Bombyx mori: one gene and its partners. The protein of the gene in region 6 purifies or fractionates together with the protein of the main gene of each other region. This does not show direct contact. Links are inferred from orthologs where the notes say so. Each region holds a gene or a part of one and is shown on either strand. Other genes may lie near its edges.

Region 1 (4,036 bases), on a different chromosome or scaffold from region 6:
AAAATGAACGAAATGTATAAGTAATACAAACCGGATCGACCGCGATGATCCTGGCCCAGATGTAGACCATGGAGGCGCGCAGCACCGGCGCGGAGGCCTGCAGCAGCTTGAGCATGTAGGGGAATATCCCGACGGCCAGCATGGCGCGCACCGCCCACGCGCCCAGCGCCAGGAACCGGCACAGCAGCTGCAGCGCGCGCACCCGGTGCAGCGTGCTCAGCAGCACCTGCAGCACCATCGGCAGCTGCTCCGGCACGCCGCGCCCGCCGCACCCTGCAGCGCACTCTCCCTCACTCTCTCTCTCGCTCCCTCTCCCTCCCTCCCCTAAACTACACTATACCAGTCATAGACAACGGCCTGGCTATTGCTGACCATGAGCACCGGTAACCACTCACCATCAAGTGAGCCGTATTATACTCGCTTGCGGTATTATTTTGGGATTGTTTACAGGCCCCGCAGGCCGGCCCGCCCCCGCGAGCTGCTGTCCATGCGCTACCAAGTGCTGCCGGTTACCACGGTTTCTAGTAAGCACTCACATTTACCGAGATCTAGCCAGACTTGGAAGGCGGTGAGCTGATCCCTGAAGAACGGCGAGTGGGAGTAATCCAGCGGATGTGGAGCCGAAGATAACGTGACCAGCTGGGCCAGCGCCGAGTCCAGGGTCTGCTCCCACGCCGCCCACAGCGGGTGCGCGGCCAGTGACGGCAGCGCCGGACTGCTCACGGGGGTGCAGTTGTATGATCTAGGAGTATGCAAGTAAGGGTGGATTTTCCAAAACATTATATTAATAGGAATGTAAAATATGTATTTATTATTTTCTATATTGCATTTTGGGCGCAGCAACAAATAGTTAAATGAAGAATGTTGTTTGTTACAAAGTGTCAATGACATGCAAAGGACAATACCCAAAAATGTCAAATGTCCTTTATTCTCAATAATATAACAATATAAAATAACAAAAAAAATATTAATCTACTACTGTAATTAAAAGTTCAGAAGTTTTATACAGCCTCGCAGAGTTCTTAGTTCTGATCGGTTACGAGACATCACAATGCTATCGTGGTGGGCCCCACCAGCTGTAAAAGCACCAACCTCATAATCCTGTCGGCGAGTAAGAAGTTCCTGCAGAGGCTGGCCGTCAGCAAGTCGGCCCTGAACAGCTGCTGGAAGAGGTCGGCGGGCAGCGAGCTCCAGGCGATGGTGTCGGTGATGGCCGTGAAGATCCAGTTCAGTTCGCCCAGCATGGTGCGGCGGTCCGTCACTTGGCCAGGGATCCTGGACAACAAATTCAATGTACTTTAAAAACTAATTACACACGCTTTCATATGAAAAACTGAATACAAATTTAAGTAATAATTTTTTAGTTCAGTGCTCCTGGTCAGCATATCCCGATATCAAAGTAACAAGACTGTAGTCTCGTTATCTCCCCTTGGTGCGCGCGTAACTATCCAAGCTGATCTGAGGTCGTGGAGCCGGGTCGTTGCATTGAGGTTTCATCACATATATGAGTCGTCTATTATCAAAGGTGGCAATCTGTGCATTTGGACAAAAAAATGTTATTGATATGTCAATACAGATTGATTTGAATACAATCGTCTCCTTCAAAGAATACGGTTCAAAACCTGCATTAAATAAAGGTTAATACTTAACCTGTTATTTATCTAAGATGTCGTTCAGAAGAGTTTTGTGACTGCCAATGGAATACAAAGTCAATAATTCGTTTTTCTGATTTACCAATAATTGTCCAAAAGTCACATTGCCGGCTTTGATAATAGTCGACTCACATACATGTCGAAGACTGTCATTAGTTTGGTAGCTAAACGAAACGCAGTACGATTCCCGAGAGATGGCAGCACGATCGCGATGGAGGCGCGTATAGACATCATTGACACCTACCAACCAGCCTTCTTGAAGAGCGATGCCTCCATTCTAAGAACTGGCATTCGTTTTCGTTTGCTGACGTCAAGAGAAGATTTCTAAATTGTTCTAAGACAACAAACGTGTTTTATGTACTCAATATTTCTTTTAGCTCGATCACCCTATTCGCCCCTACGATGTCTGACGATGGTGTTAATAATGCGGTTTCTCCGACATACATATCGATACAGGTCAAGCTGATAAAAATCTGTTGTCAATAACCGACTGCACAGTAGGGATGGCGATTCGAGATCGATTAATCGAAGGATCGATTTCTCGAACCAAAAAAAATATCGATTTTTAAATCGATATGTAGTTCTGACTCGATTCAGTGAATCGATATTTTACCCTTGATATTTCACCCAACTGCACAGACTTCTGTAACTATTCGAACACAATTACTCACGCAAGACTACTCATGGCTAGAAGCGTACATGGCCTAATAGATAAGACGCCCAGTGTACTTGTAGCCTGCAAACATGTCATTGATCAACCCTGTTTGCCTTAGGCCAATACAAATTTTTCTTAAAGTTATTCATCATTTTTATATAGTAAAAATATATTATACTGTGATAATTACACCATAAAATGAATCTCTTGTTCGATTTTTACATGACTTGAATACTACAGTGGAACTGCGAATGTCCACAGGCAACTGTTATCACCGAGCACCACCACAACACGAGATTAAGAGACGATACTGACTTATCGATGAGGTCGTGCAGGTCCCTGTCGGCGTATCTGGTCCGGGTCCTCAGCACGAACCACTTCATGGCAGTCTTGACCGGCGTGGTGAGGCAGGCCGTGAACAGGTCCGCGGGCAGCTCCGGGTTCATGGGCAGGCTCTGTCCGGCGGCGCAGGCGGCCAGCTGGATGCAGTTCTTGTACGAGACCTGAGGGATGCTCGAAGTGCCTTCTTCATTCTTCTGAGCCTGTCCACAAATGATGAATTAAAACTGTGTATCTCAACTTTTTCACCTACAATGTTGTCACCCTATGAAGCGTTCACATGAACCCTACATAGTACTGATAAAACAGATTACCATATTATTGTTTCTGTAGCAAATGCTCTAGTTTTACTTAGTATGAATATCGAAGGGTGACGGGTTATAGAGATATTTAAACGAAGTTTTTGCAACCTTAAGAAGAGTCACTTAAAGTTTAAAATTTGGAAAAAAAATCCTAATTAAACTTAATTCAAGGTCAATTAAAAACATCGAACTGTTGATGCTATTACTAAATAAAACACACTTTTAATTACAAAGATAAACATCGTTCAAACGAATTAGCCTTTCACCCCCTTGGTTTAACAAATATCATATAGCAGATACCTCGTACTCCCTCTCGTGTTGATCAGCAAACAACTTGAAGCTGTCGACAATGATGCCGGCGTTGGAGCAGTCGTACACGTAGAGCGAGGGCGCGCCCATCCACGTCTGCAGGTCGTACATCGACAGCGGGATGTACTGGGTGTAAGTCTGGGGACAAATACCTTAGTTTTATTTTTTAGTTTGGTTTTTATTAATTTGTGACATCTAAAGATGTCGGCGCAACGTCACTATTTAGTAACTAATATTAGTTAAAGTTAACTGGTTCCGCTGGATGGCGTGAGCATTAAAATAGGTACGTTGAGATTTTCATCTGAAACTTCAAGATGAGTGGCATCTTTCTACTTACGTGTACTGTCTCATCTGTTATCTGCACAAGTTTGCCTAGTTCTGAACTTTTTATTTATTGCTTATATGGGTGGACGAGCTCACGGCCCACCTGGTGTTAAGTGGTTACAGGAGCCAATAGATATCTACAATGTCATCAAATGCCACCACTCACCTTGCGATATGAATTCTAAAGTCTCCGAAACGCATTACTGCTTCATGGCAGAAACAGGCGGGGTGGTTGTACCTACCTGTGCGGACTCACAAGACTTTCTACCACCAGTAACATTGAGCGGTTTCTTTTATTTTGTATATCAAATCTAATGAAACCATGCATTTTTCAAATGCGTACTTAAAAATTTTCAAGTGTGTATCGTATTGTGATCGCCATTTTTTCATTATTAAAAACTAAGTTTTTTTTTATTGCCCTTGCAGGTAGACGAGCATACGGCCCACCTGAAGGT
Region 2 (4,036 bases), about 11 Mb from region 6:
TCATGATGCAAATACCAAATAAAACGTACCTTTAATTATAAATATAAATGTCGCGTATTAAGCGAACTGTCATAGCCTTTCACCCATGGATATGTAAATACAACATAGCTATACATGTTGGAGTATTTCTACTTTGGGGTAGCGACATGGTAAGCGGGCGGTCTAGAAATGTTAACTCGGAGCGTATATTACGCAGGAGCGTTCCGTCTGATACGGCGACTCGCTCGCTTCTGAGCTCGAGAGACAACAACGGAGCGTATAATGCTATAAAAATAGCAAGGTATCGTGGTGGGACGATGTTGTTTACGACTCTTATCTTGCACGTGTAGTTTTCGATGAATGCTTGCACGTGTTGTTTGTCGTCCCATCTTTATTAGTCATGAACTAATGGTTTATAAAAACACGCGCCGACTTACATACATGATTAATCTTTAAACACTTACTGGATGAATATAAATAGCGTCGAATTTCGATGAGAGCTCTTCCAAATACGCGGCGTCGTCGTTTCCGTGTGTCGTCTCTAACATTTCGTACACGGAGGGCGCGTGTAGCACGCAGAGCTCCTCCTTGGTGGCCGCGCGGGGCTCCAAGTGCTTGCAGCGCTGGACCAGGTTCAGTTCCTGACACCTGAACACGTCATTAAATCTCTTCAGGATTGCTGCCTGGATGTAGCCCCAGAGTGCGGGGAAAGATTCTGGAGCAACTACAATTATTTTTTAATATACAGTAAAAGCTTCTTATTCGCGCCCCTTTATTCGTGTTTGCATTATTCGCGGATTAAAAAAATGCGACCCAATTCCTATATTCGCGGATCTAATAAGTACATACATAATAATAAACGGATTCCAATAAATAGGTATCCAACCCATTATCCTTTGTAAATGCCGCCAAAGACTAATAAAAAAAGTAAAATAGATCTTATTACAACTTGGCCTAAAGTTAGTATTGCGATGAAAATTAGCCTATATTTTTCTCGGAGTGCCGATAGCGAATTTGGTCAAAATCGTGGTTTGGATGTGAAAATGTAACAGACAGACCCTGTTTTCCAATTACAGCACAAGAGCGCATTATGCGGCATAATGCTCAACGATAATATAAACAAAATTTCGATCAATGCCAACTTAAAGAAAAAAAACACTTGTCAATTTTCTGCCACCTGTAGTTTTCCAATTACAGCACAAGAGCGCATTATGCGGCATAATGCTCAACGTTGAATGTTTCAATTGAATGTTTCAACTACAGCAACGATCGAGCACTCTCAAAAGTACTGCTCTCGCGTGATACTCGCAATCGATACCGACTCAGTGACAGAAAATTGACAAGTGTTTTTTCTTTAAGTTGGCATTGATCGAAATTTTGTTTATATTATCGTTGAGCATTATGCCGCATAATGCGCTTTTGGGCTGTAATTGGAAAACAGGGGATATCACATTCGGCATTAATAATACTATTTTATGTATAACTTCAAATATCTAACAATAATATCTTATCTATAATAGAAATCTTTATATTTCAATGTTAGTCTATTAGTCTTCTTTAATTAGCCCTCTTTCTATGCTGTATTATACGGAGACACCGATTTAGATATATTGCCATATTTATTTCTGTAAGTAGTTGATTTTGGTATTTTTTCTGGGGTCTTAAACTCTACTCTAACTTTTTGATAAATAATTTAAACATAAAGAAAATTATACCAAAAATGGTCTACGGTTGGTTATCTTTATAATACATTAAGTCATTCATAATTACCTAAATAACCTAAATAATAAAGAATGTTTTTCTGATCAAGTTTTTAAATAGTGACTGTGGCAGCTCCAAGACTATTTCTATTACATGGTATGGCAGTTAAAAGCCTATGAGCAGTGTAGATTACATATTTTTTACTGACCTCTTGATGACACTAATGAGCCTTTCCGGACATTCTGGGTAATTTTCGTCCCACAAGCACCTGTGTTCTCCCATGCGAGGCTCGGTGACAAATCCGGTTGGACCCTTCACTAATGTCTTCGATTCCATCGCCTGATAAGAAACAAAAACTTTTTTCGTTACACGGGTCAGTTAGCTCATTGCTCACGAGATATTTAATAATGAGAACTCATAGACATTGCAATGTTAATAAGGTTGTTTAGGCTGTTGTACTATTCATTTCAGAATGAATAATTGCTCGGTGGTAGGTATAGGCAGGTTGGTGATACCTACTGGAAATTACATTTTGCCTTTTTTATATTTACATATTTTTTACACACATAACAATGATTTAAATACAAAAAATATGTATGTACGTATATGAATAGAATTTAAATATGCAGTAAATTGAGTGCATTACTCCCACTGAATACCACCTAATGAAAATTCTCTAACTTGTTTTTTTCATTTTTTTTATTGCTTAGATGGGTGGACGAGCTCACAGCCCACCTGGTATAAAGTGGTTCCTAGAGCCCATAGCAAATGCGCCACCCACCTTGAGATATAAGTTCCAGAGTCTCAAGTATAGTTACAACGGTTGCCCTACCCTTCAAACCGAAACGCATTACTGCTTCACTATAGAAATAGGCAGGGTGGGGACACCTACCCGTGCGGACTTACAAGAGATCCTACCACCATTAAAAAATGTCTTATTGAATTGGGTAGTGTTATGCTAGGGCACAGCCAAGCTGCTGCCTACCAAGTGAATGATTACTTAATAGTAATTTACTTAATGGTAATCCATTCTTTTAATTCTCAAAACTAGCATATCACACATCTTAGTGACAGTTACGGTATTTTAAGAAGCCCATGACTAACATGCCATATACCTGTGAGTGTGAAAAGTATCATATTAAACCATACTGTGTGCATCGTAAAAGGGCCGTTACACTTGACATCAAGCAATAAACTAAAAAATACTCACAATCTGAAAATGATCCCTGATCTCCATTACGAAATGATTTTGCTTCTTTTTCTGTTGAGCCTTCTTTTTAGCTGCTATTAAGGATGCTGAAGGCTGAAAAATGACACAAAAAGATTTAAAGACAAAAAACAACTCTCAATATTAAACTAAGCTGTTACAAAATATACATAGAATTTATTTCTTGAAGTCGTTGATACTGATTAGCAACTGACTGAAAAGTAGTTTTTATATAAATAGTAATTGCTGAGTAATAAAATTTATTGTTTAACCGTGACAAAATAATAAAAAATAATATTACTTTACTTTGAAACCAGTAAATTTACTGAGAGATGCGCGCGACTCTGTCCCCTAACATAAATTGTATTTTTATTACTCTCTTTAGACCAGTAGCCTCAATGCTAATACATGCTTTGCCAAGCAAGGTTATAGATATGATATAATTACAAAAAAGATTTAAACATTTATTTTGTCCCCTAGTGAGCACTCAGCTATACTTTGTTCTTATCAATCATGTGCTGGAATTTAATTACACTTTTGAGATAATTAGATAACATACAATGTCGTTTGAAAATTAAAAATCGTAATTCAAAATTTTTTTTGTAATAATACCTCATTTTCACCTGATTTACTTAGAATTTATTTGGTATATTATTATGTTAGCTTTTCTCAATAACATTATCAGATCTCTAACGTAGCCTGATAGTGAGAGAGTGAGTATCCACTTAAAAAATCTTCCAGCCTGTCAACACTCATCTTTCTTTACACCAAGCTAAGATGATAAAGTAAAGCAGCAATGAAGAGTTTCCATTAAAGTTTACTAGACGAATTAGCAACATCACTTTAAATTGTTTTTGAAACTATATTTAGTGTATTTAGTTCAGTGAGCAAATTCATACTGAACATTTGTAAAGTATGTATTTCATTTGAAAAATGGGTATGTGCTTGCGAGATTGAAACACCATTGTATTGTTTGATAAGGATGCAGTGGGAGACTATATTTTTAAGTATTTAAGTACAGCCAATTAACATCAAAAAACCTTTTTAGAAGGTAGGTAAGCATTGCTTAGTTTACAGCAATTTTAATGATTGTATACATAGCTCATGTTTTAAATATTTTCATTGTGCAGAAAGAAACTATGAAGTATT
Region 3 (4,827 bases), on a different chromosome or scaffold from region 6:
GGGTCTGTCTACTATATAACTGAGTTTAACAATTCATGTCTCAAGATGGGTATTTACGTTGATGTTGAAGGGCTCCGGTAACCATTTAACACCAGGTGGGCCTTACCCACCGATCTAGGGAATTAAAAATCAAATCTGTCACAAATCACAATTACAACATCTCCATTATGTGGAGAGATGGTGGATCAAGAGATATAAAGAAGTTTAAAGAAAACTAATGAATGGCTGAGTTATGACTATATGTACTCAAATCAATTTTTATTAAAAATGTTTAAAAAAATATTAAACATTTTGGTTGTTGAGTTTAAGATTGACGAGATATCTGTAGATCTTTATGATAATTAAAACACAGATGTGGTAATCATTATCATATACAAAGAATGAGATGCAACTATATTATAAAAAACACAAATAAATTGTAGCCCTCACCAGTGGTGATTGCCTGGTTAGAAGAGATGCAAGCCATGGTGACGGTGTGCGCTGGAGTCCTGTCGCTGAACCCAGCCGCCAGGGCTGCCTCGCGCCCTATATTTGAAGTTTTCACCTCTTGGATCACGGTGCCATATACAATGTAGTCAATGACATCCTTCGATATACCAGTCTTTTGTAGGAGACCACTATGAAAATAGACATAAGACACAAAATAAAGATCTCTGTAGTGTACTAGTGATGGTACTTATTCTCCTTCATAAAAAAAAATTACTAAGTGCTGGGTTTTTAAAACATAAACACACAGCAATCAATTAAGCAAATGACTTCATGGTTGTTGTGCAAGTATACAGACTTGGTGAAGATTGTTAAAAAATACAATTCTACCCTTCTTTCTTTTCAGGTTAAAATCTTACATATTTCATATACTGTCTTACATTACTTTAATATACATTAAAAATGAATATTAATAAAAGTCGTCATCGCCTAAAGGATAAGACGTCCAGTATATTAGTATTGATAGATGCAACGGCGTTCGAATCCACTTTACTTAACAAATGTTCACCACGATTGACTTCCATGGTGAAGGAATAACATCGTGTAATAAAAATCAAACCCGCAAAATTATATTTTGCGTAATCACTGGTGGTAGGATCCATTGTAAGTATGCACTGGTAGGTACCACCACCTCGCCTATTTTTGCAGTGAAGCAGCAATGCGTTTTGGTTTGAAGGGTGGGGCAGCCGTTGTAGTGTCGAGTTTCAAGGTGGGTGGCGGCATTTACGTTGTAGATATCTATGGGCTCCAGTAACTACTTAACACCAAGTGGGCTGTGAGCTCATCCATCCAACTATGCAATAAATAAATAAAATTAGTTGTGGCCTAGAGAATAAGATGCCCTGTGCATTATTATAGAGTAATGCTACTGTATCAGTTATCCAATCCCACAGTCAAGTACTAATTGGACAACAAAGGAATAACATAGAGCAAAAATACATCCTGTTTTTTTTTGTGTGATATTTATTTGTGATAGCAATTTGGCACCAAGTGGGCTCTGAGCTCGTCCAGCCATCTAACCAATAAATCCAGATACTTCAAAAAAGTAGCTCGCTCGTAACAGAATAAAAACACAAAAAAGAGGCCACCAGACTATGTTGGAAATTTGACGCAGTCAGTTGACATCACCAGTTAGATACCTAGAGAAAGACCCAAGATAAGTTGGTAGTGCTGAAGGAGAAGAGGGTATTCAATGTCACTGACGATGATGTCAAAGACAGCTAAGTAGAGGAGAAAATTAAAGAAAGCTGACCAACCAACATGTGATATACATAGTTAGAAAGAGGGAGACAGCGAGATTGCTTAACTATTTTAGTCCCTCTCAAAGTCTTATGAAAATAAAAAAATATATATATGTTAATCAAGATTACCTTTAATCTTGTCTTATTAATAAATCTTTAAAATCAACTTACAGAAGTGCATGTCTTGCTAGTTCATGGGGCATCATCCTGGCATAATCGGTGAATGAAACAAGGAATGGAGTGCGGACTCCATCGACAAGCACCACATTCTTGCCTGTACGGTCTGGGAGAGATTTCTTCTGCTGCAGTACTGGCGCTACACTCAGCGCTCGTCTGGCAGTATCTATTATAAAAAAAAGTCATTTTATATTACCACATAAAATATATTGGGCGAAAAGCTAAAAACTTGTCAATGTTTAGCCCAATTAAACATTCAAATACTTTTGTTTAGATCAAAAATAAAATATTTGTACAAATTCTAATTAAATCAGGTTCGGTTTCTATTACATGATGATGTTCCTTCATTGTGGAAGTCGTGTGTGGGCTGTGTGTATTGTCTGTGTACGTATTGTTTGTTCTATTTCATAGTAAAGTTTGTATGTTGCCTTAAATTTATTTTGTCTAAGAAATATTAGACAAAACATTGAAGTTCCAAAATAAATGTCAGGACAAAACATTTTCTATTAATATAATTTGGCAACAAACAAGCAAATTTATAAACAAGTCTGCCAGGATCACAGTCCAAAGTTTGCTTTTCAAAATTATAGATAAAACAACCGATTTGTTACATAAACATGTTTTAATATGCTTTGATGGTCGTAACTGGACTCTTGTTTTGGGACGTTATTGTATATTTATCGTAAATTAATTGTATAATTTGCAACTTACCGAACTTAACAGTAGATCGTACGTGGTTTGCTTTTATCAATGATTTAGCGACTTGTGAAGCCATTTTAGTACGGCACTTCGGACAATTTTTCTTTAAACAGTGAAGATTTCTGCAATAAAATGCTAACGTTTAAATATTAATTAAATTAAAATATAAAAACTTCAAAATAATTGTATTCTATTTAGTGAAAAAACTTGGAGAGTTGGACTCTGACCTATTTTACACCACAGATCAAGAAAGCGTTTTGGGGTTACCGCTTCATTTTCGTAAAAAGCCGCTATTGGTGAAAAGCTACTCTTTGCTATTTTCATTTTGTCTATTAAGCGGATGTAAGCGGAGGTTATGAATTAATCATACGATATCATAAAGTCATATCTATCAGACCATGGAGAGATAGCAAAATATCTTTTAAAACCAAAATGAGACTTGTCCGAACTCTAGTGGTCTCAATGCTTCTCTATGGTGCTGAGACGTGGACTCTGAAATCAGCTGATCGCCACCGCATTGGTGCCTTCGAGATGTGGTGCTGGAGGAAGATGCTATGAATCTCGTGGACAGCATATCGGACTAACGGATGGATATTAAGACGGTTCTATATCTAAACCAGGCTCTCTACCATCTGCCTCAAGAGGATATTTGACGATCTTGACGATTTTGAAAAATTTATAGTAACTGGGAAGATTGCAGGCAAAAGGTCTCGTGGCCGCAATCCAATGCGCTGCAGCGCTGGTCCGACCAAGCCCGCACTACTCTGGATACCACCGTCTACGATGCTATACACACCGCCGAGAACACAGAGGAAGATGGCGAAACATCATCTAGAGAAGGATAATGAGAGGAGATGGTCACGGTCTTCAGATATGAGGAATGTGACACAGGGAGGAGGATCATAAAATAATGCAAATATCAACTGCTACTTAATTCTTAACCCTGGTAGTGGCTGAAACATTACTTTTTTGTTTACAGGGAAGATTATAACCTGTGCTAACTAGGTAGTGCCTTAAAGATGGATTTTAGGGAAGTAGTACCAGTAGCTTGAAGTTTGTATGTAATCACGTTACCCACACAATCAGATTGTTACTATGCAGTATATTATAATTAAGATTCAAAAACTAATTTCAATACTTTCTATGATTAAAAACGTGATCTTTTCTTTTTCTAATTAATCCATTATCTGTTGTTTTTTTCTTTTTCTTGTATCACTGTAAATGTCATATTTGACTCTAAACATTTCGTTACAATTTATTTACGTCCATTAACGACTCGACTTTTAGCCACGATTGCTTTTAATCGTTCCCTATTTTTCTATGAAAAAAAGAGTGAAACTTTGTAACGGCTTTTAAAGACTTTAAAATAATCCTAAAAACTAAGCATGTCAATCAATTTTGTTTCATTTCCTCTAATTTCAGTACATCCAAACACTAAGCAGATCTATTATTTATTAGACACGGTTTTAACATGTTTAAGCCCTTTAATAATATTATTTAAGAAGCGCTGAGTTGGTCTGAAGTTTGAAACTGATGTCTACACTACAATTCATGCTTTCGCTTAAAAATACAAACAAATGCAACTCTTAGAACAAACAACAAATGCATCTATTTGTACTCTTCTTTTTTTTTCAGTATAGCAATCGAGATGCCATTGTTTGCCAGTTTCGAGGTTCTACAATTTTCAGACATGAACCCAAAACCAAACGTAATTGAGAATATAAGTATGTTACTAGTGTAAGGGCATTTTGTAGGCCGCAAGCTATGTACCATCACTCTGCCTATTACTGCTTCAAAGCAGTAATTCGTTCCGATGGTGGGTTAGCCGTTATGCTGTACAGTTGACACTCATATTGTGGGCTCTGGTAACCGCTTAACATTTTTGGGCTGTGAGCCATTTTTCTATGGAATTAATAAAGATAAAAATAATTAATTTAATTTGTCAATATCATTTTTATGAGAAGGTGCGTAAAGTTTATTCATTTAAAATATTCAATTAATATTAAAAGAAATAAAAAATAACGTGCCGGTAAAAAGGTGTGAATTTACCGATATTTCAGCGGACTTTTTGGGAAAAACGGACAAGCCAGGTTCGGCGACTTTATTTCGTTTTCTCACAACAGTGTCCATTTCTACAAAGGCTAAAGAGTTATAAAACCACCATTATTACACGTGTAATAGTGAACGATTCACATAACTTGTTACCTCGCGTTTCTGCCAAAAT
Region 4 (3,159 bases), on a different chromosome or scaffold from region 6:
ACTTAAAACAAACAGAAATGTTGAGAAAATTAAACTTTTGTTTCTGTTCATATTTCGGATATTAATAAATATATTGGATCGTAAATAAGAAAAACTCACTAGGACATAAACATTACGATACCTATTAATTTTTCTTTTAATTATCTGTTTTCGACAAGATTTTATGGTTTTAATATACTTTTACGTTCTTCTACCGTATATTATTATAATATATGATGTAACATCGTATATTATAATAAGATACTGTTACGTTCTCAGATCGAGCGAAGTTGGTTTTCGCTTAACATTTCTGTGTATATATATATATATATACACAGAAATGTTATATATATATATATATACCATTACAGTTGGTCCACTACCAGAATGGACACCAGCCGATATAGCACTGACAGAGGTTCTCATTGCTTGTCGCCTGCTTCACGAGCAGTTCCACTTGTTGGGGCACGCTCACTATAGATTCAACATTAGGAAAGTCCCTTCCGGTCAATTTGTCCCTAATCCTGTTCAAAATGGCGACCGCGCGTTTATTTAGATTAGCCTCGGGCGGGATCTCTGGTGATTCGTAAAGCAAATGATTTCGGCTTCTGTTCGGGAGGGTGTACGAATAGTCTATGTCTGAGGAGAACGAGGACTCCGTGATGGAGTGATGGTCGTTGTCTACAAGCCGCCAGTTCAGTAACGGGTCGTAGACGAAGGCTTCGAGCACAGCCATTACGCTGTCTCTGTGTTTGTGGAGGACGTGCATCACAGATTCGCAGGTGAAGCGGTACGTACCTTCGATGCCGGTTACCTGGATCAAATTTATTTATTTACTTTATTTATTAGGCACACAATACACATAAAAAGCAAAAAAAAGATACACAATAAATAACAACAAGTAAAAAATCTGGCTGTTAACATAAGCCATGTGCGCACGACTAATCAAGATAAATGTGTTGAGTACACAATGTTCCTTACAAATATAGGATAAAATAATGATAACGAAAACTAATCTAAAAAAAAATCTAAAAAGAAGAAGACTTACTTAATCTACTATTAATATTTACATGGAGGATGCCCTTGAACATGAAACGTTAAAATACTGATGTGAGGTAGAGATCTTTGACCTGAGACGGCAAACTGAATGCCGCCGCTCACTTTGAGAAATATGGTCAATGTCTTCAATATACTTTCCAACATCTATCTGACGATTTAAACTGAAACACGTGACTGCTTCGCGTCAGAAATAGGCATGACGGTGGTACCAATACAACCGTGCGAGATTACAATACGTCCTACCACCAGTCATGCGTAAAATTGCTTTAGCGGGTTTGATTTTTATAACATTATTACTGGTGGTAGGACCTCTTGTGAGTCCGCGCGGGTAGGTACCAAAACCCTGCCTATTTCTGCCGTGAAACAGTAATGCGTTTCGGTTTGAAGGGGGAGGGGGCAGTCGTTGTAACTACGAGTATACTGAGACCTTAGAATTCATATCTCAAGGTGGGTGGGGGCATTTACGTTATAGATGTCTATGGACTCCACTAACCACTTAACAGTAGGTGGGCCGTGAGCCAAAAGCCAACCAAAGCAATAAAAAAAAGACGTCGTTATTCATGCATCAAGGATGATGTCTTTAGCGAGCACGTGCTATGTACGTGTTTTCTAAAAACTGTGGGATTTGAACATGGGCATAGTCGCATCGCTTGACACGAGTAAACCGAACGCCTTAACTTTCGGACCACGACGACTTCTCATATTTCTTTGTTTACATAATTTGTCCTGTCAGAATCAAGGTCATTTTGCGTGTCAGATCGACATTGAAATACATTTAACAACTACTATGTACCTACAACTATGAGGGCATTATTTTTCAAGAAGTTCAAATCTGATGACATAGCGTGATCAATTAATTTACAATTACATGTTGCGATGCGGACGAGTTTTCAAAGAGACCGTTAAATGATAAAGATTGACTTCAATAAAAATTTTAAAAGTCCATCTTGATTACTCATTCGATCAATTATTGGGGGCCGTTCACGTAAGAGCACTTAGCGTAGTTATTCTATATCATTATTTAACTTAATTTCCATTAATATAGCAAGTATTATTTGATCGTGTTTGATTTGTCTAAGCTAAATAAAAAAAAACTAATTCGATAATCGAATGTAGCACATTTTTTTAAAGAAGAACCTCATAGGTACCATTTGAAAAAAGTTTCACTCAAAAATCTCAAACCATGAAGGTTCTATGTCAGTTCGAAGTTCCTATTACAATAGAACGGCAATTCCATACTTTAATCCCTATTATTAAGATTATGAGAAAAGATAATAGTACTGCCAGTATTTACGAAATTATCTCCAATGATTTTTTATATTAACAATAATTTAATTTATTTAGATTTGTAGTTCAGAAACAACAAAGATACATATTGCCGGATAAAGATTGCTTCTGTATCCTACCTATAAACTACGAGCCGATCTGGAGACCTGTCGTTACGTAGAATCGCGAACCAGGGAACGCACTATGGTATTTATTATAGCAGATATACTCGGCATTGTCCGGGTTATGTTATTTACCACGATAAAACTTTTCCTATATCTTTTTTTATTGGCTTTATATGGTAGGCGACGTCCATACGACCGACCTGACTTTGGTTAACGTCATGAAAGTCAGTAGTGCCAGAGACTGAGCTAACTCATAACATATGAATATAAAAAAAAACAAGTTATAAATTATCTATAAATACTATAAACATTATATTTTTTCTGTGAATTAATAACAAACATATTATGTAAATTTTCATATTTATCAAACATTATGTATCGATTTTCTTAGCTGTTCAACTGTTGTATTTGATTGCGTATGAAAACTGTTTCATGGTCGCGGGTAAACATTAGTTTAATTGCTAGACTGTGTTGTTGCTACCAACTTGTGATATAATACATGTATTATTAATAATTAGTGATTGCGAACAGATGACGAAACCTGTATTGTGACGGTTCGACTTTGGATTTAGTACTTTAAACACCCTTCTTCTTCACAACCGTTTCACTCTTGACAGAGTGGTCGTGATCGTCATGTAGAGTTTGGGAAACGTGATTACGGATCCTCCCGATCCTTTAACGGTGCTTTTAGGTAGCTCGAATCACCGGTCACCGTCCTTGTCGAACTAGT
Region 5 (4,036 bases), on a different chromosome or scaffold from region 6:
CCTAATAAAGCAGCTAACAATTGTATTAGAACGTTCTTTGTGCTGACGACTTTTACGTCATTAATTATGTATAAAAGTTTGGAAACCAATTGGAGCTCTCTCATTGTGCGTAAATTGTGCGTTCTGTGAGCCGTTTCAGTGGCCAGTTCTAATAAATGCTCCAGTAACGATTTAATCAGGCCACCGGGGGCGCCGAGCCACACCTCTAGCTCGCAGATGAGATCCTAAAACATTATAAATACAAAATTAATTTTGAATTTTTTTTGTATTTGCAAAATTAACTCATATTTGGATTTTAACAGAACATTTACTTGAAAAGCTGTCAAATTAGGAATAGACGATGTTTCCTTCTGGCTGTCCACAGTTCCGACCAGTCCAAATACAAGGTGGAGTATATGAGAATTCAATAGCTGCTTTTTCCTCTTCAATAACATAGCTAAGGTTTGGTATCCCTTCCGCCGGTCCATTTCGGCTTGAGCCGATTTGTTCGATCGAACGACGCACACTAGCGCTTTAACGCCGGCGTACAAACATTCCACGTCTTGTGCCATCGCGATCAAGCCCAACAGCACTGAACAACCGCCCACCGTGTCAATCTATGAAAAAAAATTAAATAAAATTTTAACAAAAAAGAAAACCAACTTCTTTAAAAGTAAAATTAAAATATTATCAATGCAGTCCAAGTCAATTAAATATGAATTATTTAGGACAACTCAAAAACTAACGATCAGATCTTGATAAATGTGAAGCGGAACCACATAAGTAACAGTTTCCAAAAAAAAGATACAACAAAATTGGTTAACCTAAAGAAGTTTTAAGATAATACAAATAAATAGATACAGTCGAAATTATCAACCTACACTTTTTTTTTTAAGCTATTTAACAACAAAGACTAAGATGTATCCAAAGAATATATCGAAGTTTGAAAGGCTATTTGGTTTAAGCAACATTTCACTTAATACGCGACATCTATCTTTGTAATTACAGGTGTCCATTTTATTTGGTATTAGTATGAATGATTCGATGTTTTTAAATAAACTTCAATTAAATTTACTCCTTTCAAATAGTTGAAGTAGTGTTTTTGTTCTGATATTTTTTCCAAAATTTAAAAAAATTTAAATGTCTCTCCTGTGAAGTTGCAAAAATGTCGCTTAACCCATTAAATAGCCATTTGCCTCTTGATATTATTTAACAATACATTGTGCTTGTTTAGTCAGATGTATAATTACCATAATCGCGGCTGGCTTCGAACAGAATACTCTGACTCCCAAATAGCCCACCACGGTGCCGCCCAAGCATCTGGCGGGTCCCATCAGGTGTCCCGCGGAGTTGTGGAGTATCCGTATCGGGGTTGCGTTTTCGTGCGACGACATGCCCAGTTGCTTTGCGATGGCCTTGTTGTCGTTTTTACTGTACACTTTCCTTATCTTCGCGAGGGTCAATTGAGACATCGCTCGTGCATTAATTCCGAAAATAACTTTTTCTTCTGCGACTAGAGGCGTCAGAGGTTCTTGGTTTTGTCCCGGCGGCAGTGGAGCTTGCAGTGTGCCCACGTAATGGGGACCCAGTTGGTATATAACCGACACTGTCTGTGCTGTGAGTACCTAGAAATGTATGTATGTGTCAATACAAAATGTACAGCCATATTATCTTGACATCTATATGAAGAATTTCAATACTATTTAAAAAAAGTAAAATCTGAAGAGATAAGTGTAGTACGTTGTAGATATCTATGGGCTCCGGTAACCACTTAACACCAGGTGGACTGTGAGCTCGTCCACCCAATTATTTAACAAATAAAAAATACCCGTGGAACACCACTGACTGACTAAACAATAAACAGACAGTCTATTTCATAATAACTGTTAATTATCCAGTTTTTACAAAAATTCTAAAAGACTTTAAATGATATTAGATACAAATAAATAAAAAATTAACTATGGCAGGTCTAGCTGTGATTGATGAGGTCATAGTGAGATAGGTTAGTCAACAGAGATGAAGACAACAATTAATTTTTGGCCTCGACTTTGTGTTTCAAGGGGTCAGATTTTGGCCTCAATATGTCTAGTTACTGTGTAACGCTAGGAAGACATGAGCTCAATAGTTAGGGAGGTTACAATTAGTAGTGAGGGACCCAACAGCACGAAATGCAAAAAAAAATGTTCCTACCTGGCTGACAGCCTTGAGAGGCTATTTCAGCGTAACCTTAACTAGTAGGTGAGCTCACGGGGCTCAAACCTGACGACGTTGCTAACAGGAACCCTAGCAAGAGCCGTGCTTCGCAGAATCTACCACCGGATCGGAAACGCGACCCACTGAGAAGGTCCGGCGAGAAACTCAGTGGGCTGTGTCTGTGGATTAATTTACTCGTCGAGCATCGAGAACGATGACCAGTGCTTGAGGTACCTAAAAGCACCGTTAGTTGATCGGAAGGATCCGAAATGACGCGTTTGGGGCGACGTCGTCTGCTTTCCATTCTGACCGCGGGATCGGGAATGCTGTGACAATGGTACGCACGTCTTCGAGCAGCAGCGCCGGGCCCTGTCGCCACAGCAGCCGCGAGTAGCGCCGCCACTGCGGGGGCGTCCCGAGCACGCAGTACACGCTGGACGCGCCCGACAGCGTGGCGGCGCCGCCCCCGGGGTTCGCGCTCACGTAGTGCAGCTTCCCGGAGTGCATGTGCTGACCTGCAATTTTTTTATATGGTCTTTGAAGTCATACGTGCATACGACCCACCTGATGGTAAGTGGTCGCTCATAGATGTCAGCAATGCCAGGGACAGATCCAAGCCGCTGCCTACCATTAGACGAGTGCTTTGTAATATTTTTCAAGGCAGATTTAAAAAAGGGTCGTATATAGATACACCAATATAACATTTTTTACAATTTTTGTTTGTCTGTTTGTTCCGGCTAATATCTGAAACGGCTGGACCGATTTTGACAAGACTTTCACTGATAGATAGCTGATGATATAAGTAACTTAGGCCTAACTGTTTTACTTTTAGACTAACTTCGCCTCGCGGCGTCACCCGCGCCACTACAATAACCGCGCGTAACATCGCGAGACTCAGCTATCAATAATAAAAAAAATTAATGTTTCCGAAGCGAAGCGAGGGCAGATCGCTAGTCAAAAATAAAAATTCAATTTTAATTTGAAATCATGGTTATTTAACCTTTTGCCGAAATTTAATAATCCTAGAATGCTACGTATTTTTCGGCTGATTGATAGTAACGAATGAATACCTAATAAACCTACATAATATAATAGTTAAATGCGATTTTCAATTTATGCATGATGTTTCAATTGTCTTGCCGAAAAAGAATTAGAAGACAACTAAATTTCTCAATCATTGTAGAGAGGTTCACAAAATGTACTCGTAATTGTAAACTGTATTAATTGTAATTGTATGTATGTTGTTATTTTGTTTTGTTATGTTACTATGTCCTTACTAACATATTTTTTAAGAAGTCACTGTTACTAACATAGGGATTAATATTTTATCTGAAATAAATGAATTTAATCATAATAATTAATCAGAGATAAACAAAACTAACCATCCAAGTAAAGGGAAAAAGAGGAATTCTTGAGGACAGCACGATTAAGCACGAGCGCGAGGTGATGCCACTGTCCTTCGTGTTGCAGGTCGGGGCACCACACGCGGGCGCCGCACTCACCCGAACCCTCCGGCTCCCATTCTCCTACATCTAAAATCATCGAAACAATAATTTCTGTATTAACCCCTTTCTGTATTAGGCTTATTTTTATTTTTTTATAGCTTAGGTGGGTGGAAGCTCACGGCCTGGTGTGTGTTTACCGGAGCCCATAGACATCTACAGCGTAAATGACGTCAACCATCGTGAGATATGAGTTCTAAGGTTCAGGTTCAGTATAATTACAACGGCTGCCCCACCCTTCAAACCGAAACGTATTACTGCTGCACTGCAGAAATAGCCATGGTGGTGGTACCTAACTGTGCGGATTCACAAGCGTCCTACCACCAGTAATTACGCAAATTATAAATTTGCGGGATTGATTT
Region 6 (4,783 bases):
AGTTTGCGGGTTTTATTGCAATTTAAAAGTTCTGATTATCGTTTAGAATCGCACTCCGATGTAAACCCAAACGATGTTATGCAATCGAGTATCCTCCGATGTCAACTCAGATCGTATCTGCGCATGCAGCAATCAATACGAGAGGTACCGGTAACAAAGGAGGAGGCGGGAATAGCTGTGCCTCATAAGGTTGGCGGGACGGGGAGCATTTTATTGGGAAATGGGAGTATGATTTCCCCCCACCCATGTGCAAAATAGGGTGCGCATAAAGTGTGATATCGATTTCGGGAAACTTCCGAACTTACGGAATATTCATGGGACTCAAAAGCTTACGTTTGAGGCTAAAATCTAGCCGATATCTACGTAACGATGCATGCCACCCAAAACCTTATTGTTTTTCCACGATAATCACCACGAGGAAACTACGAACACAAAACAAACATTTCGAAGCGGGAAATATAAATTGGCAGTTGGGCTTGTCAGGCTATCAACATATTTATTTATTAGAGCTTTGAAGTCGTAGTGATCTAAAGAGTAAAGAGTAAGTTGCTCGGCGTACTTGTATCAAGCAATGCGACTATACCGGTGTTCAAATTCCACAAACCAATACCAAAGTAAATAATAGGTACTTAACACGTGTTCACGAAAGACTTGTACGATAAGGATACTTCTTTCTAAATAATTCATAAACAGTTGTAATATTAAGACACTGAGTTCGTTTTTATTTAAACGTTAAAATGTCTTAACTAGAATCAAAAGCGTACAGAGTAAGCCCAGTTACGCCAGTATTAAAAGATGGTACTGCCCTGAAGAACAACTAGTCTCCTATTAATAGATTGTAATAATTGTTATTTAAAGATAACACATTGTTTAGTCTATAATCAAAAACAAGCAGGGTAAGGGCCGTGACGACAGTATAACAAAGCGGCATGTGTCTGGAGAAGGGAATGTTAGTCAATCCTCTCAGACTAAGCCCCGTGAGCTCGCCCACCTGTCAAAGTGATGCCCTATTTTATAGTATACGTAATTCCTAGTTGTAGGTGTTACCTGCGTGGACGGGTAGCACCATTCTGCCTATATCTATCTGCCTTGACGCAATTTATACGATCGGATTTGAAGGGTGGGATAGTTATTACACAATACAATTGAGACTACATCTCATGGCTCTTCACACTGATATCTATAGGCTCCAGTAACAACTTTATCCCAAGTGCACCATGAGGCATTTACCATTCTACACGATAAAAACAAAATACATTATAAGGCATTCACTGACAATGCCAGTTTAAGTTAGAACGTTAGATGTTAAGGCATCTAGGCAATTGAAATCAATTCTATTACATTGCTATTTGCATGAAGAAATATTTGTTATATAAATTATATTATTTGAATATTTTATTGATAGAATTATATATTTGTAGAACTGTAATTAAATATTTTCGAGTTTAGTATTCACATCGGGAACCGGTATCAACAAATGTCTTATTGGATACACAGATAACAATAAACAATAGATAAGCTAATCAATACCTTCGAAAACATAAATACTTGTTGTTTCAGCAGGTATACCTTCATCACTGAAGTCATTCATTAACACGTGTCAGATATAAAAATTTGTAACTGATAGAATTTATTTTACTAATAATGCCATAGACGCTTCTAATGCCTCACCAACATTATTTAAATAACAGAAAACATAATTCTACTCTGTGATTAAATAATCAGAAAAAACTTACCATCCGTGTTTTCTGGGAACATTGTAGTCGCAGTTATCTCTATTTCACAGTCATCATCTCTAATATCTGGATTCTTGCAGTGAACGTTGAGCTTAATCAGCCCACTCTCCAAAGACACTAGTGCAGTCATCATTTCATCATCTGATGAAATTATAATGTCATCACCTTCCTCATCTGAAAATAACCATATTTAAACCATAATTGTTAATCAACTTAAACTTAGAGAAACTGTATTTATTTACATAGTAGAATAAAAACAAAAAATTGATCACCTTTCCATGATACTTTATAAATCTTGTTCCGCAGCTTTGGGTAGACTTCTTGCAGTTTCGCATTCAAATAATGAAAACTGCTCACAACAGTTTTCTCAACACCAAATCTCCTTACTTCTGGCTGAGCATTCTCCTCAAAAAATGCATAAACTTTAAATGGAACTTGGTCCTCCATTTTCTAAAATCAAATATATAAGATATTATGCATTAAAGGACTGCAGCAAAAATAGAATTGAAATAAATACATAGTTGAAGATGCACCTATAGAAAACTGTAAGTATCAGGTGTAAGATCTATGTATAAAGAAGCAAAGATAAAGCAGTTCTGTTGAACAGTAGCGTTTTTCCCTTCTGTTGGTCTTTACTTCCAAAGTTTATATAAAAATTCGGAAACCGTATTTTTTTTGTTTCCGTCTATAGAAGAAAACTGTAATGTAATCCAATAAATCAATCTAATTCAAAGGTGAATCAGTAATTTTAGTAAAATTATGACCACTGGGCGAACACTATTAAACGGAAACACAAAAACGCAAAGATTTTAACTATTGTTTTTAAAAAGGTTTACAAGTGAAAAAAGTTCAATAAACATTAAATGTTAGTGTTATCGCTGCAGCATCAATTTTTTTAACTTTGGTCCGCATGCGCAAAATGATAGGCCATTTTGTTCAATAAAGCCTGATTTTGTTGGCTTTAGATATATTATTCTTGTTGTTTATATAATTAAAACAATTGTATCCAATAGCTTAACTTACTGATTTATATAAATGCACTGGCCGTAAAATGACACAAATAACACGTATTAATACCGGCGTTACAACTAATTAATGGTGTTCTTGAGGCTTTGAATTACTTTTTATATACTTTTATGCAAGCACTATGAATTATGATTCACGTATTTTCGAATGTTAGAGAACGATACAGAAAAACAATATTTTGTTGTGCAATACAGCTGACTTTTTTAAAGGGATATTATGACCTGGTAACTAAGATCTTTAGGTCAAGTCTTATTTTAATTTTAATGAAAACTGCACTCTACGAAAAATGATAACAGGAAGTGAAATGAAGTTGATTAATATGAAACATGGCATGAAATGAAATGAAATTAAATGAGATGAGATGACATGGGATGAAATATAATCTCAGTAAAATGGTGGTCATTTACTGAGACTTTTTCAGTGGACTTTTTGGCGGGAGCGCAAGAAATGAAGTTGTGTGATTTTTTTTTATTGCTTAGATGGGTGGACGAGCTTACAGCCCACCTGGTGTTAACTGGTTACTAGAGCCCATAGACATCCACAACGTATATGCGCCACCCACCTTGAGATATAAGTTCTAAGGTCTCAAGTATAGTTACAACAGCTACCCCATCCTTCAAACCGAAACGCATTACTACTTCGCGGCAGAGATAGGCAGGGTGGTGGTACCCACCCGCGTGGACTCACGAGTGGTCCCACTGTAACCACCAGTTATAACGAAAATTATAATTTTGGGGATTTGATTTTTAATACACGATGTTATTCCTTCACCATGGAAGTCAATCGTGAACATTTGTTGAATACGTATTTCATTAGAAAAATTGGTACCCAGCTGAGATTCGAACCCCGGTGCATCGCTCAACACGAATGCACCGGACGTCTATTTAGTGTTTTTCACTTCTTCTTCAGTTTCAATGTGTACCTAATAGCGGTGGTTTGTTCACTGCTTAGGACCTATCTGTGAAAGTGCACAAATGTGGGAAAATGAAACAAAGCCGCTGGACGTAACTTCTCGAGATCCTCCAAAAAGTCCACTGAAAAAATCTTAGTAAGTAAATGACCACCATTTTACTGAGATTATATTTCATCCCATATCATCTCATTTCATTTAATTTCATTTCATCCCAGCTGATTAATGTCTCAAATTAATCATCTTCATTTCATTTCACTGAATATCATTTTTCATAAAAATATGAATATAAATTAAAATAAGATATGACTTAAAGGTCTCAGTTACCAGGTCATAAAATCCCTAATAAAATCTACTTATTGAGACTTTTTGCGGGAACGCAAGTGAAGTTGTGTAATTTGTTTTATTTTGTCAATTTAGTGTTTCTTCGGGTTTAAATGTGTAATAACGGTGATTTATTAATTGTTTAATATGTGTGAAAGTGCACAAATGGGGGAAAATGAAACAAAGCCACTGGATGTAACTTCTCGGGATCCTCCAAAAAGTCCACTGAAAAAATCTCAATAAATGACCACCATTTTATTGAGATTATATTTCATTCCATATCATCTCATCGCATCTCATTTAATTTCATCCCAGTTGATTAATGTCACAAATTAATTGTCTTCGTTTCATTTCATTTCACTCCATATCATCATTTTTCATAAAAATATGAACACAAATTAAAATAAGACATGACTTAAAAGTCTCAGTTACCAGGTCATAAAATCCCTAATAAAATCTACTTATTGAGACTTTTTGCGGGAACGCAAGTGAAGTTGTGTAATTTGTTTTATTTTGTCAATTTAGTGTTTCTTCGGGTTTAAATGTGTAATAACGGTGATTTATTAATTGTTTAATATGTGTGAAAGTGCACAAATGGAGGAAACTGAAACAAAGCCGCTGGATGTAACTTCTCAGGATCCTCCAAAAAGTCCACTGAAAAAATCTCAATAAATGACCACCATTTTATTGAGATTATATTTCATTCCATATCATCTCATCGCATCTCATTTAATTTCATCCCAGTTGATTAATGTCACAAATTAATTGTCTTCGTTTCATTTCATTT
Region 7 (4,693 bases), on a different chromosome or scaffold from region 6:
ATGACCTTACAGTTCTAATATTTTAAATGAACATTTATGACTATTATTTTTTTTTTTATTTTTATTATTAGTATTATTTTTTTTTATTTACTAACAATCACACCACGTTAACTAGTCCCGTGATAAGTTCGTAAAGAACTTGTGTTAGAGGTACCCCCTTGTGTAGTGACCATGTCACTTACCACTACACCAGACGGCCGTTACGTTACCTATATTATACATTCATCATCAACATCATTCTCCTGCCCTACTCCCAGTAACCTGGGATTGGCGCAATATGTTTTCTCCTACCATACCTCTATCATAAACCATTTCTTCGCTCACTTCCGCTCTTATATGAAGTCACTTACACATATCGTCTTTTATGCAATATTACACATTATCACATATCATTATAGTATACATTATTAATATTTATTATTATATACTTTTATTGCAAATTGGTTTAATTCAATTGTACCTGGCAGGTGACTGCTAATGTGTGACATAATTGGGTTTTGCCAGTACGGAATTCACCAAATATTTCAGTTATAGAACCAGTTTCTATACCACCTCCCAGTAATCTATCTAATTCCTTTGAACCAGTAGTAAGTTGTATTATTTCAGCCCTGGAAGAATTCAAACAATACTCAATGTAGATTTGGTTTAATTAAAAAAATCTAATACAAGTATTAGCTGCAGTTATTTTCTGTGTCAAGAATATGACTATACATTACTAGTTCGATACTGGGATTTGAGCTGTGTCCCTTATGTCAGGTCCAATAATTGTGTCATTATAGCCTAAGGTAGATACATAGACATAACAATTTATGTAACAAAGACGGGGTACAAATCCTGCAGGAAGGTACTAATTTTTTTGCTTTTTTACATACTTTGCATGTGTTAAATGTTTTCCACAACTTTGTACTAACCTTAGCCATATTGGCGTTTCATTAATTAATAATAAAAAATATAAATAAATAATTTTAAAGGTACCTACCTCTTTTGATGAAACTCAGTAGCTGTTGTAAATCCCATTGGCACCAATTTAGATGCTTCAGCTAATATTTTATCTGCCTTCGCTTCAGATATCCCTTTAATTGTGATTAGCCATTTTTTTGGAGCATAGGCAACAGATTCAACAGTATGATATCCCGCTTCCTCAAGCTTTTTTATATCTCCTGATGTGATGCCATTGCCCTAAAATAAATTATTCCATATTTTTATTATTTAACAAACAAATTATCACAATCCAAATTTAGATATATATATGATGTACACAATGTTGCAATGAAGTAAGGTTGAACGATTAAGTAGCATCAAATGCAATACAACTGAGAATTTGACTTAATATGAGCATAGACTCATGTTGTTCTTACAGAACGTTTTTGTGTCTTCTGGAGATCTATTTGAAAATTCTTAGAGCAGATAAACTTGACCCTCTTTTACCCTTGTTTTTTCTTTTCTTGAGAGATCTTTTATTTGGAATGTAGATATCTTACTCTCCAAGGCAGGATATGTAGATTTACTTAAGCATAAATAGATAGGATTCTTAGGAGCACTTTATTATCATCCAATATGTTTATTTATTTATTTCATATACACATTAAAAAGAAATATAGTTAAGAGAATGGAATAAATTAGAATTTATCTACAGTATAAGTTGCGCATTGTATCCAATAAGTCAGTTCAATCCAGTAATATTTGTAAGCAAGTTATAGCTTGTCACATGACGTCACCTCTAATTTACTGATCAGCTGTGGCCCGCATTCGTCAGCATCTTCATCCAAAGAAGTCGTAGTTGCTGAAGCAGTGGTATTCATTATTGTCCGTGGCTTTCAAACAATTACCGGCTCATTTAAAAATATTCAAACTTCAGTTGCTTATAAATAACTTTACAAGGTTAGGTGTCTTTGGAGTACACGATTTGGATTATAAAATAATTTTAACTAATTTTTTTTTTATTGTTTGTTAGAGCAAACTTGTAAGTAACATACGCGTTAAAATTTCAATCACTATTTTTATTTTTAAAGTCGACACTGAAGTCTGAAGACATCCGCTTATTTTTTTAAGAGATTTTATGACCTGGTAACTAAAACCTTTAAGTCATGTCTTAATTTAGTTTATATTCTTATTTTTATGAAAAATGATAATATGAGGCCTATAAAATCAAAGGCAGCTAAATCCAAGTCTGTCAAATATTCAGGTAAACTGCAAAAATCAGCCCTAAACACGTCATTACGGATCCTCCCGATCCATCGAAGTACTGCTCTTGGTAAGGCCAGTGTTAGCAACACTCCCGGTTTGAGAAGCTGAAATAGCTTTGTTCGGATAGCTACGATATTCTTTAATTTAAAGCACATTTTAAGCACATAAAGACTGAGAATATTACTAATAATCTGAATTTTAAATGATAAAACTTCGTTTATTAGTTCTTAGTACAGAGTAAAAATAAATTTTTTGATCTGAATTTGTTAGAGATTTAGCTGCATTTGTTATAACATGAAAACACTAAAGCGTGTCCAACTAACTAAACAAGATAGCGCCATTGTTAATCCATTTTGCGACATTGAGGCGTTTAGCTGCCTTTGATTTTATAGGCCTCATATGGAGTGAAATAAAATGAAATGAAGATGATTAATTTGTGACATTAATCAATTGAGATGAAATTAAATGAGATGAAATGGGATGAAATATATGATGGGATGAATATGGGATGAAATATAATCTCAGAAAAATGGTGGTCATTTACTGAGATTTTTTCAGTGGACTTTTTGGAGGACCCGGAGAAGTTACGTCCAGCGGCTTTGTTTCACTTTCCCACATTTGTGCACTTTTACAGATATGAAACAGTTAATAAACCACTGCTATTACACATTTAAACCTGAAGAAACACTAAATAGACAAAATGAAACAAATCACCCAACTTTACTCCTCGCGTTCCCGCCAAAAAGTCACATCCGCTTAAATGTCAAGATCAATCATAGATGTACACATGCTGGCCGTTTTCCAATTACAGCACAAGAGCGCATTATGCGGCATAATGCTCAACTAAGCTTCAGCATAATTCGGCATTGTGCGTCACTGAGTCACATTATGCTCTGTAATTAACCTTTACTTAATGGTAGTTTTCTAATTAATGTTTAATAATGGTGGTTTATTAACTATTTAGTATCGGTGAAAGTGCACAAATGTGGGAAAAGGAAACAAATCTACTGGACGTAACTTCTCGGTATCTTCCAAAAAGTGAAACGGAACTACCTAAATAACCGCCATTTTGTTGAGACTATATTTCATCCCATATTATCTTGTTTCATTTAATTTCATTCTAATTTATTAATGTCTTAAATTAATCAACTTCATCTCCTTTTCATACCTTCGCCTTTCCAGTTTGAAAAATGGAACCTATTACTCAAAATCAGCTGTTAGGTGCAACCACTGGTCTATGGGTGCAACTGACAAGTGACAATTGCTCCCTGCGTTGTCGTAAACATAGAAACACGAATGTAGGTAAACTAGGTACTTATTAACTCCATGAGGTAAACATAAACATACAGAATACCGTACCCCACTGCCAACGAATTTATTTAAATTTTTGCGGGTTAGCTTTTTGATAAAATTGATTTAACTCTATTGAACATTTATAACATATGATTATTGGATTTTAATAAGGAGATGGAGGACACTCAAGAAGTAACACTTTTAATAGAAAATCAGAGATTCACGGCGAACAAAAATGTTTTGTGCGAGTACAGCGACTATTTTCGCGCAATGTTCAGTGGAAACTATATTGAAAACGAACGACAGGAAATAAAAATTGATGTAAGGAAAATTATAAATTATGTTAGCTAAATTAAATTAATGTATAAAATGACAAACAATTAAAACAATAATTATGGATTTAACTCTATGAATAATCGCAAAATGTTTAATTTTTAATCATAATTATCTAGTAGTAGTGGGTAGTAAATTGATAATTTTGCGATTCCTTGATGTTAATGGTACCTCAATCATACCTCATTGTGGAACGTTTGGTGAGGGTAGGCTGTTGACAGCTAACTATTCTATTTATAATATTCTATGTATAGAACGTACCGTAGACGTAGTGTGGCTACCCACACTAGCTCCCTCGCCTCCCACACGTTGGACAGACCACCTATTGAGGTATGCGGGATCTGCTGGACGCAAGCAGTGCAGGCCGATCATTGTGGTTTGGGAGAGGCCTATGTCCATTTGAGGACATCTGTGGGAATAAATATCTACCTACAATATGATAGTGTAACTTAAAAATAAAAAAGGACTGTAAACAAGAAGAACTGTAAATTACTGAATATTAAAAAAATTACTCTTTCTATATCCACTTCCAGATGGTTGATGCATACTCAATGAACATGATACTTCAATACATGAGAATAGGTTTGATAGATCTCTCTGAATACTCACTGACAACTATTGGAGAATTGTCAATCGCAGCGAACTTTCTTCAAATAACAGAATTAATTAAGCAGATTGAATACTGTTTAGATCTCCATCTTTCTGTCTCAAACTGGATGGAGACAATGATTATAGCAGAAAACTCTTCTTATACTAAATTAGAGCAACTGAGTGCTGCATTTGGATTACTTAATTTTAAACAAATGAAAAAAGAGTACATTTTAAATATTCATAGACTATTTTGGTATTTATCACATCCATATTTAGATACTGATAATGA

What was found.
Region 1: the proteins of sequestosome-1 (region 6) and rptor purify together in Homo sapiens (affinity purification with western blotting; 3 studies listed by BioGRID). This does not show direct contact. The link is inferred for Bombyx mori from reciprocal best matches to the Homo sapiens genes SQSTM1 and RPTOR.
Region 2: the proteins of sequestosome-1 (region 6) and histone deacetylase 6 purify together in Homo sapiens (affinity purification with western blotting; 6 studies listed by BioGRID). This does not show direct contact. The link is inferred for Bombyx mori from reciprocal best matches to the Homo sapiens genes SQSTM1 and HDAC6.
Region 3: the proteins of sequestosome-1 (region 6) and trifunctional enzyme subunit beta, mitochondrial purify together in Homo sapiens (affinity purification with mass spectrometry; 3 studies listed by BioGRID and IntAct, with this or other methods). This does not show direct contact. The link is inferred for Bombyx mori from reciprocal best matches to the Homo sapiens genes SQSTM1 and HADHB.
Region 4: the proteins of sequestosome-1 (region 6) and TOR1 purify together in Homo sapiens (affinity purification with western blotting; 4 studies listed by BioGRID, with this or other methods). This does not show direct contact. The link is inferred for Bombyx mori from reciprocal best matches to the Homo sapiens genes SQSTM1 and MTOR.
Region 5: the proteins of sequestosome-1 (region 6) and WD repeat and FYVE domain-containing protein 3 purify together in Homo sapiens (affinity purification with western blotting; 4 studies listed by BioGRID and IntAct, with this or other methods). This does not show direct contact. The link is inferred for Bombyx mori from reciprocal best matches to the Homo sapiens genes SQSTM1 and WDFY3.
Region 7: the proteins of sequestosome-1 (region 6) and Rad51 purify together in Homo sapiens (affinity purification with western blotting; 3 studies listed by BioGRID). This does not show direct contact. The link is inferred for Bombyx mori from reciprocal best matches to the Homo sapiens genes SQSTM1 and RAD51.

The regions. Positions count from the first base shown.
Region 1 is NC_085123.1:794,769-798,804, reverse strand, and holds part of rptor (regulatory-associated protein of TOR), read right to left. Parts: intron 3,396-4,036; coding exon 3,249-3,395; intron 2,850-3,248; coding exon 2,623-2,849; intron 1,276-2,622; coding exon 1,093-1,275; intron 743-1,092; coding exon 537-742; intron 274-536; coding exon 32-273; intron 1-31. UniProt on the Homo sapiens protein: Component of the mechanistic target of rapamycin complex 1 (mTORC1), an evolutionarily conserved central nutrient sensor that stimulates anabolic reactions and macromolecule biosynthesis to promote cellular biomass generation and growth.
Region 2 is NC_085111.1:17,639,358-17,643,393, reverse strand, and holds part of histone deacetylase 6, read right to left. Parts: intron 2,984-4,036; coding exon 2,891-2,983; intron 2,020-2,890; coding exon 1,889-2,019; intron 628-1,888; coding exon 444-627; intron 1-443.
Region 3 is NC_085126.1:9,561,640-9,566,466, reverse strand, and holds the start of trifunctional enzyme subunit beta, mitochondrial, read right to left. Parts: upstream 2,954-4,827; 5' UTR 2,831-2,953; intron 2,824-2,830; exon of another isoform or gene 2,802-2,823; intron 2,726-2,801; 5' UTR 2,680-2,725; coding exon 2,616-2,679; intron 2,071-2,615; coding exon 1,899-2,070; intron 618-1,898; coding exon 430-617; intron 1-429. UniProt on the Homo sapiens protein: Mitochondrial trifunctional enzyme catalyzes the last three of the four reactions of the mitochondrial beta-oxidation pathway.
Region 4 is NC_085109.1:10,789,494-10,792,652, forward strand, and holds part of TOR1 (target of rapamycin), read right to left. Parts: intron 794-3,159; coding exon 359-793; 3' UTR 1-358. UniProt on the Homo sapiens protein: Serine/threonine protein kinase which is a central regulator of cellular metabolism, growth and survival in response to hormones, growth factors, nutrients, energy and stress signals.
Region 5 is NC_085118.1:8,496,813-8,500,848, forward strand, and holds part of WD repeat and FYVE domain-containing protein 3, read right to left. Parts: intron 3,705-4,036; coding exon 3,555-3,704; intron 2,688-3,554; coding exon 2,518-2,687; intron 1,605-2,517; coding exon 1,230-1,604; intron 597-1,229; coding exon 312-596; intron 225-311; coding exon 1-224. UniProt on the Homo sapiens protein: Required for selective macroautophagy (aggrephagy). Acts as an adapter protein by linking specific proteins destined for degradation to the core autophagic machinery members, such as the ATG5-ATG12-ATG16L E3-like ligase, SQSTM1 and LC3.
Region 6 is NC_085111.1:6,305,816-6,310,598, reverse strand, and holds the start of sequestosome-1, read right to left. Parts: upstream 3,040-4,783; 5' UTR 2,760-3,039; intron 2,187-2,759; 5' UTR 2,184-2,186; coding exon 2,009-2,183; intron 1,911-2,008; coding exon 1,737-1,910; intron 155-1,736; exon of another isoform or gene 1-154. UniProt on the Homo sapiens protein: Molecular adapter required for selective macroautophagy (aggrephagy) by acting as a bridge between polyubiquitinated proteins and autophagosomes.
Region 7 is NC_085131.1:10,828,472-10,833,164, forward strand, and holds the start of Rad51 (rad51 homolog), read right to left. Parts: upstream 2,928-4,693; 5' UTR 2,732-2,927; intron 2,079-2,731; 5' UTR 1,803-2,078; coding exon 1,719-1,802; intron 1,180-1,718; coding exon 980-1,179; intron 609-979; coding exon 461-608; intron 1-460. Other genes in the region: kelch-like protein 26, read left to right, coding at 3,378-3,485, 3,652-3,801, 4,347-4,693.